Linked DNA regions of Oryzias latipes. The protein of the gene in region 1 purifies or fractionates together with the protein of each later gene. This does not show direct contact. Links are inferred from orthologs where the notes say so. Each region holds a gene or a part of one and is shown on either strand. Other genes may lie near its edges. The genes, in order: peroxiredoxin-1 and txn.

The links.
Region 2: the proteins of peroxiredoxin-1 (region 1) and txn purify together in Homo sapiens (affinity purification with western blotting; 3 studies listed by BioGRID, with this or other methods). This does not show direct contact. The link is inferred for Oryzias latipes from reciprocal best matches to the Homo sapiens genes PRDX1 and TXN.

Annotation. Positions count from the first base shown.
Region 1 is NC_019875.2:16,491,872-16,496,197, reverse strand, and holds the start of peroxiredoxin-1, read left to right. Parts: upstream 1-1,440; 5' UTR 1,441-1,565; intron 1,566-1,838; exon of another isoform or gene 1,839-1,900; intron 1,901-2,284; 5' UTR 2,285-2,295; coding exon 2,296-2,401; intron 2,402-2,496; coding exon 2,497-2,650; intron 2,651-2,737; coding exon 2,738-2,860; intron 2,861-4,326. UniProt on the Homo sapiens protein: Thiol-specific peroxidase that catalyzes the reduction of hydrogen peroxide and organic hydroperoxides to water and alcohols, respectively.
Region 2 is NC_019876.2:18,250,137-18,254,746, reverse strand, and holds the start of txn (thioredoxin), read left to right. Parts: upstream 1-1,620; 5' UTR 1,621-1,817; coding exon 1,818-1,841; intron 1,842-3,039; coding exon 3,040-3,144; intron 3,145-3,814; coding exon 3,815-3,880; intron 3,881-4,082; coding exon 4,083-4,148; intron 4,149-4,610. UniProt on the Homo sapiens protein: Participates in various redox reactions through the reversible oxidation of its active center dithiol to a disulfide and catalyzes dithiol-disulfide exchange reactions.

The DNA.
Region 1 (4,326 bases):
CTGACATTTTTTGAGTAGAATTCACGCAATCTCTACACAATTTCTGATAAGCGGATAAGAGGTTTGTACTAAAATGACTGTGGTTTCAATAATTTGGTAAAATGCCTGTAGATATTCTAGTTTAAAATAGACATTAGCAGCATTTCAGCCCACCTTCACATCTGTGGGAAATTGTGTTTCAAAACTGCAGTGCTGACTGAAACCACAATGACAGCCCCACAAGTGTCCTTCAAACGTGTACGATCACACGCCCTCATTATGCAGACATTAGGATGAGAAAGGGGATGAATGCAGGCCAGCGTTTGATCACTGGCTCAGAGTGCTGCTTCTAAAGGGGGTTATTGTGTTTCTCCCTCCAGTCTGGTCCTTGAAGTAGCGCTATGGCAACAGCCTGCAAAGATGCAGCTTGATTATAGCTGAAGACGGAGGGATGCTTCTGCCATGACAGAGAAAATACACAGAAGAACTCTTTCCAACTTTATATACACTATTGTTTACTCTACTGTGTGTAGTCTTATTATTATTATTGTTTGACCTCCATTGAGTTGTTTCCCCCTTTTGAGATAATATCAATCATGAGATCTGTGGTCATATGAACATTAAGTTAGAGTAAATGAGATCAGCTTCTGGGCAAAACAGAGAAATCTGAACGTTAGCATTTCACAATTCATACGCATCATCGCTCTAGGTGTGAGAAAATCACTAAAAGTGAGGTATCTAAATAAAGAACTAGACATAGGTTAATCATTTGACAAGACTGAATGATTCACATGAAGAGCAACCACTTAAGGATTATGCAGATCTATTTTTGTTAAACAGAAGACATTTTGTTGTTTTTCTTTACCTTTTTTGCTTTTATTTAAGCGTTTAGGGCTTGTAATTAAACAACAAGAAACCTCTTTCTGTGCGAGACAGTGTGTACATTATGTGTTCTGTTCCTTCCAGTAAATATTACAGAGGAGAGGAAAGCAGGAAATGAAAAAGATAAATGACTTTGGCAGCAATCTGGATAAGCACACAGTGTTGCAATAAAGTGTTTGAAGGAAGGGAGTGAGATTTTCCAGAAACTGCTTAAGAAAATATAATATCGTTGGCAAGAGAAATGCAGCTTAAAATACCCTGGTTGAAATATAACGTCTACAAGACTTTTCCATACCGGGAGTTTTTTTGTAAGGGCATGGCCAAAGTAGAAAAAAAGGAGAGGAAGAGTTTAAGAAATATGGATAAACGAAATGTATACTTGACAAAAGTTATGAGAAAAATTGAGAAAGCTACCAAACGCTGTTTTTCCCCTCGTCTGTGTTTTTAAAACAAATTAATGGCTTCATAAACTAGAGATGTTAGAAAAAAAGAGGCATCTCTCTAGCTTCCTTTTCATGAAATAGCAGTTAAAAAGTGCAGAGTCATGCTGAATGCTTCATTTCTGGAAATAGGGATCAAGGAAAGGTTCTGTTCTTGTTCGGTCGATGTTATCGCGAGATTTCTGGGCTTTATAAAACCTCCTGATAGCGCACTCGAGCCCGCACGTTCGCTTCTGACAGTTGGTGTGGCGTGATCGCTAAGAGGTGAGTACCATAATGCCTTCATCTTACCACCCCCCCCCCCCCCTCTCGTTTACTTGTGTTTTTAAAGGTTTTTTTTTTTTTCATACAGTTAAACCCGGAAGTTTTCAGTTCAACAAGTGTCTGTTTATTTCCGTTCGGGATTTGATTTCGTGTGGAAAATCAAATAACCAGATTTTTTATAACTTTTATTTCCCCATATTATATTAAATGAATTGGGTCTTAAGACTAACACTTTTGGGCCTCTAAACGTTTTCTTTCTTTCTTTTTTTTAAGCGTTGTGGGGCGTGAAAACCTCTCTGTTCCCCAAAACGGGGCGATCTTCTTTCCCACCAAAAGTAAAACATTTAACTTTGTCTCCCACATGCGGAAATGTAAACTAAAAGAGGCGCTCGTAAGCTGTAATAAATACTAGTTTAAGTGGACACTGTCTAAATAACATTCCAACTCTTTTTCAAACCATTCTCTCATTTGACGCTTTTATTTTGAAAAACCCACTTCATTGATCCAGTTCATTATTTTGACTTTTGTATCATGTTCTTTCTAAATGTTGTTATATTTCACGTATCCAGTTGATTATGCATTACGTTAAAACTCTTAAAACTACTACTCTTACTACTTCCTCTTTCATGGATGCATAGATTCGTGCTTTTTGTCTGGCAAACGAGGAAGGCTTTTTTTTTTTTTTTTATTTAATCCCACTTCCTCCTTCTGTATTTCAGTAAGGACAAACATGGCAGCAGGAAAGGCAAAGATTGGAAGCCTGGCCCCAGACTTTACAGCTAAGGCTGTGATGCCTGACGGCCAGTTCAAAGACCTGAAGCTGTCAGATTATAGAGGTAAAAGCCTCAGTCTATCTTGTAAACAATAATTAAGGCAGCGCAAGAGCACTAATACCTTATATTTTATTTTTCCTGTTTCACTCTTCCTACAGGAAAGTATGTCGTTTTTTTCTTCTATCCTCTGGACTTCACCTTTGTGTGTCCCACTGAGATCATCGCCTTCAGCGACGCTGCTGACGACTTCAGGAAGATTGGCTGTGAAGTCATCGCTGCCTCTGTGGACTCTCACTTTTCTCATTTTGCATGGTACTTTCAGATTTTTAACATAATACCTTGTGCTTCAACTTTTGCAAATAGTTGAAATCAATTTTTCTTTTTGTTTTGGTTTGAAAGGACAAACACACCACGGAAACAAGGCGGTCTGGGTTCAATGAAGATCCCCCTGGTGTCTGACACGCGCCGCACCATTTCCACAGATTATGGGGTCCTGAAAGAAGATGAAGGCATTGCTTACAGGTGACACAACAGAGTTTTTTTTATTTTTTTCTATTTGCACATCCCTAAATTAGACCTTAAAGTGTGGATGCCATGCTTTGAACAACTTTGTCAAATAAAAAAGCCCTTTAAACGCTGATTCTATTGATACCAATAGTTCGCGTCGAAAAAAATCCGAAGCATATGAATAATAGACATCTTTCGAAGGAATCAGAGATTTGGATCTGCCGCTAGAGCGCAGGCTGGAAGTGAACCCGATATGACCTGTGACGTCATGAAAGGCGTTGATTTTCGCAGTTCCGCTTCGGACAGCATGTAAACAAAACCGGTAGTCTTCGTTTCTCTCGTGTTTAAATCTGTTAATCATCAACATGCCAAGTCGTTGTGTGGCAGCTGGATGTAGCAATACATCTACTGAAAGTGTATCTGTGTATAAAATTCCCAAACAAGAAACGCTGCTGAAAAGGGGAAAGTTCAAGAAGGTGGACGGCGAAGGATTTTTCCCTCCAGATCTGCAGGAGAGAAGTCTGCGTTTTCGAAGGGACAAAAACCGGGACACAAACGAAGAATTTTGAACGGAGAGTTGGGAGGAGGATCTTGGCTTCTGAGTCGAGGAAAGGCGGGTGAGCTGGAAGCGAGCGAGCCGTTTTCTGGGTCGGAGAGGACGGCGCTGGAGTCGGGAGCGGAGGCTGCTAAGCTAGTGTGCATCACGATGGATCACATTGAGGCGAAGTAGTCGTGTTTTCTGTTGTCCTTGGATCCAACTGGAGTATTTCAACGCACTCAATGTTTTGCAAGAGAAGCAACAGGCCTGCAACGTTTTTTTTCTTTTGCTTTTGAGGTGCCGGTACCATGAGTAAACTAAACTGTGTGTGTGTGAGCGCGCGCGCGCGCACGAGAAAAGGTTTCAAACGGGTTCAAACGGGTAAAACTGTTAATGTTCCACAGTTGTTAATGGTATACAGTGACTTTGTTAACTAAAGAGTAGTAATATCTGGGAAACTTTTATTTTGTGACATTTATTTTGTAAATTGGGTTGAAAACCAGTGTTTACCTTTGTTTAGATTAGGCCAAAAGGGGACATTTTGAGTATATTTTAGGGTAAGTGGAGTAATTTAATTTTATACATTTTTTAGACTTGCTGGAGTCTAGCCGAATCTTCATGCTGGCTATCGTCATGATCGGCATGATCACTAGACCTACTACTTTCTGCTATATCCTCCTCACTTTCGCAAAAGGGTTCGAATCGATACGGTTGCAAAAGTGACTCATCATCATGATAATCTCCGCAACTTTCCTCTTCATCTTTCTGTTCATCTGATGATAAATCGCTAATAGAGACGGTAGCATCACTCTGTGCTTCGCTATCGGTGCTAGCCATGTTGTCTGCCTTGTCTTCCTTTCGTTACGTCACAAACAGGGCGGCGCGAATTCGGCGGAATGCGTGAAGCCGGCGGCCGTCCTCGTTGTTTATATTGCGTTTTTCG
Region 2 (4,610 bases), on another chromosome or scaffold:
AGCCAGAGACTGTACTTCTTCTGACTATTGTATTTGTGTTTTGTTAGGGCTGTACCAACTGAAGATGGTGGACACACAAGCATCCTGAAAGCCTCAAGAGGCTGATGGCGTGGTTCAAACAGGTAATGTGGAGCATCAATCAGGAATGAAAAGATTTCTGTGTCACTGCTATTAATTGTATACACACATGACGCCTCTGCAGGGAAAACTGCAATGTCGGGAGCACGTCACCAAAGGCTTTGAAAACATGCCAGCTGCTTTTAAGGGGATGCTGAAAGGAGACAACACTGGCAAAGCCGTTGTTGCTGTCTGATGGATGACCAATAAAGGTCTTTACACAATTAATGAAGGAGGATTTTACATATACTGCACTGAAAAATAACTACAAGATATGTATTGTCTTTTCAGTGTTTAGTGAATTAATTTTATTTTTAAAATACATATGTGTGAGATATGTCTGTATTTCTCAATAGAATGTAGTTTTATTTAAATTGTTTAGTATTTTTCTCTTTTTTTCCCGGACAAACGTAAATAAAAAGATTGTTTTCTTACAGCTGTGACACGGCTTCTACCTGAACGGGGAAAAAAATCCAAAAGTGACATTTGCTTGTTTTACAGCGACATAGATAAAACTGTAACCAGATATTGTTGTTTATTCTATAATAAAGGTTGTTTTTGGTCTTTATTGATGTATGCTGGTATTGCATGCATTGCCTAACTGATTTGAACTTGCATCATATTTTAAAGAATGGAATTATGCAAAGATACTTTTAAAAAATGTTTTAAGGTCTAAATTAGGCAATTCTTAGGCTTCAAATGAAGTTTCCTTATTTTTACGATAGAACCTGTTGGAACATTCACATATGTAGTCTAAATACTCAAATTCTTTATTCAAATATGTAAATGGAAAAACAAGTCTTTGTGTACCATCTTTTAGAATTAATCTTCTGATTAAATCACTTCCCTAAACTTATTCCAACCATGATCAAACTGCAATAATTTGTCTAAATATTGCAATTTTTTGTTATAGTATGGACTTTTCTGTTTATTGTTTACCCCTTACTTTAGTTGTAAAAGAATAAACAAATAAAGTCTTTTTAAGCTATTACGTAATAAGACTAGTGCAGGGGTGTGGCCTCATGGGCGTTGACCAGAGTTTGTACAAGGAAATATGGTCTGCAGTGACCATGTTTACGGTAGTACAGAAATTTGCCAAGTCATTGTGATTCGACTGTCTGATCAAGCGTTGACGGAATTAAAAACAAAAAAAGTATTTCAACTTACTATCGATATAATTCTCTAAAAGGACGCGTTATTGTTAGTAGATTAGTTTTGCAAGTTATTTTAAGCCGCAACGAAACAACAACGAAGCACTAACGGGCCTCAGATATATATAGCCTGACATCACCGATTCTGTAGTTTTTATTCTCAGTAAAGAGCTAAAATATTTGCAAGAATCCAGGAAAGGAAACCATTCTGTTTATAACTTTCAAAATAAAAGTATTTTTCGTGAAGCTTTACCAGTAATAACACAACTGCTGATACAACATGAAATCAAGTACGGTTACAACACATTTCATGCACAATCATAGTGGCAATGACGTATACACACGGCGTTCTTTTAATATAAATGATTCGCTTAAACATAAAAGACTGGCTTTTATTTTGTTAGTCAACCCATCAGCTCTTCCGCTGCGACGTGTTAGTCTGACGCCGTTATAAATAGGGCAGGTCATCCTCTTTGACTGAAAGTGTGGTCTTTGCGAAGCCGCTGTCTTTTAGATTCAGCGAGAGTTTGCCTTTTCAAAACAGCAAACATGGTCCGTGAAGTGGCTGATCTTGTAAGTAGTTCTATAAATACAATTAATCATGTCTTTATTTATTTCGCTGTACTACTACATACATTCAGGACAGCACAGTTGACGTTAGGTAGCCGCGCGGTTATTTTCTCAGCAAGCTTCTATCTACTTACCTTTTTTGCAAGAAAAAAAAACCCTGTTAAAGCATTTATTCGCTTAGAGTTAGCATGTTTATTGTCGTTGATGGAATAAATTACTCCGACAGAATAACTCTGGAGGCTGTATTGCTAATGTTTAGTTGTTTTTTCTTTTTTTCCATTTTCTACCCATGATGCACGAGGGCGGACTTTGCTATCTTGTTGCCGCGCGAACACGTTGCCAGGGTTACAAGTTTTCGGAAAGGTTTTACCGTTAACTAGATAAAAAATCTTTTAGTAATACACCAAAAAAACGTTCCTATCATGGCTCAGATGAGCAGAAAGCTACAATAAAGTACTAGTTTGAGTAAAAGTCAACTCCTATTTGCGACACTTGGACCATTCCGCTAGGCCTCGGGCCGCCTCTGTCCGTGTGTACACATGCCTGGATGTCAAAACTGCTGAAATCATTCAGACTTCTGGGTGTCACTGGTTGCGTCCGAATTCCTTCACTAATCACTACAAAGTGCACTGTGCGTTCGCCATTTTGTAGTGCTGTCCGATTCTACAATTCCAAAATCGAGTGCCCTGCAAATTTCCCAGAAATCTCCGCAAAAAAACAGTGTGCATCAATGCTCACTAGATCTGTGAATATAGATCACAATGCATGGCATCAAATCTATTTTTGCTTAAAAATGTATTTAAATGTACTTTCTGAACAACCTGTCAAGTGTTTTTATCTTCAGAAGACTGATAAATGATCCTCGCAAAATGCTCCTATCAATTAGATTTTAACTTCGTGAAATCGATGACGTCATATCCGCCGTAAATTAAAAAAAAAAGTAGTGGGCATGGTGTCCAAATTGCTTTTAAGTCGGTGCACTCTATAGTTTTTTTTAGAAGTTGGGGGTTAGGGTGGGAATTCAGATACAGCGACTGCTTTTGATCTGGGGCTGTTCTGCTAATCATTAGCCAAACCTTTGATAACCACTTATCGTTACACTATGGGAAAGCCTGCTGACAAAATGAAGTAATTTATTTAAACGAATTCTTTACCTTTATGCTTATTTAAAATAAATGATGGAAACATGCTTTTTTTGTAGGCAGAATTCAAGAAAATTCTGGAAGACGCTGGAGACAAGCTGGTGGTTGTGGACTTTACTGCATCATGGTGTGGGCCCTGCAAACAGATTGCCCCCTTGTACAAGGTAGATAACTGGAGCTTAAAGACTTGATCCGATGAAAATGTTTTTAACATGTTTTTGTGCCCATTTTCTGATAAAGGAGAACATGTATAAAGAAATTTAAGCTTAAAAATGCATTTCTGAGTACTTCTTTTTCTTATTGTGAATCAGTCACAGGCAAGAAAGGACAGTTTTGACAGAGCTTGTAGTTGTAATGTAGAAGCTACAATCTGCAGGCCACAAGCTCCCTGCTCCACTCCATACTGATGCCTCTACTTGCAGACAAATGGATCCATGTACGTCTTTGTTTTCCTCGTCTGAGCTGTCATCCGGCTCAAAACTGTATGCCTGATAGCTCCGATATTGCTCACCATTTTTGTTTCACCTGTAGTGTTAGGTTGGGGGTTTGATGGGCTTTAAGCTAGTCGGAGAGCTCGGAAGTTACAACCCCTCTCTGTCAACCGTCCCAACCAGCGAATAGAAACAGGGGGACCAATTGAAAACGGTGTTTAAATGTAGATGCATTGTTACTATGGCAACCCTATAAGGTTTACCTCCCCACTTCAAGGAGAGGAAGTGCTTGTTCACAGGAAATGGTCCAACACACACCCAGTATGATTTTTCAGTAAAAGTGCTCTGTTTCTGTAGAGTTGAGTCTAATGTACTGTTGTTGTATGTACTTGTTGTCTTGCAGCAAATGTCGGAAAGCGATGACAACAAGAATGTGGTTTTCCTGAAGGTGGATGTGGACGAGGCTGATGTGAGTGTGCACGTTCTCCTCCTTGGCCAGTACAAACTAGCTTTGTTTTAATGGGCAAAACCAGCTTTTGTTTTTAGTCTCTCTACTTTATGAAAGCGTTAGGTTGCAATTGGGGGCCAGCAACAATAATTACTTAATAATTGTATTTTTATTTTTTTTAATTTTGATTCATAAAAAAAAACTGTTGCTTTTTCTCTTTCAGGATATCAGCAGTTTCTGTGAAATTAAATGCATGCCTACATTCCACTTCTACAAGGGGGGCAAAAAGGTAAGTAACTGAGTGCAGTAGTTGAAAAGTTTATAACTTTTTACAGAGGTTCTGATGACTTCCTTTAAAAAAAGAGACCCTGTGTCACATGGGATCATTAAGAGAGTCTTACTGTATTTTTCAAACCATAAGGTTATCTTAAAATCCTTGTATTTGTAAAATACTATTTATAAATTGAGTGTACTTACTGCCCTCAAATTGATTTCCTTTGGTACATGGGGCCCAAAAATCTGCCAAAATGTTTTAGTTTGACTTGTGATGCGTCCCGTCTGTCAAATGTTGTGGAATGAGTTGAATGAAGTTTAAGTTTACTTTGTCTTTTTTGCTATTTAAAAGGAAAACCTCTTTGTCTTTCTTTAACCAGAGAGCCATGTGTGCCCTGGTTTAAGTGATCCCTGTTTAAGCCCTGTGTAAGCTTGACTTAAACAATTAAACCAGCCTGGAAGCCCTAATGTCCATCCT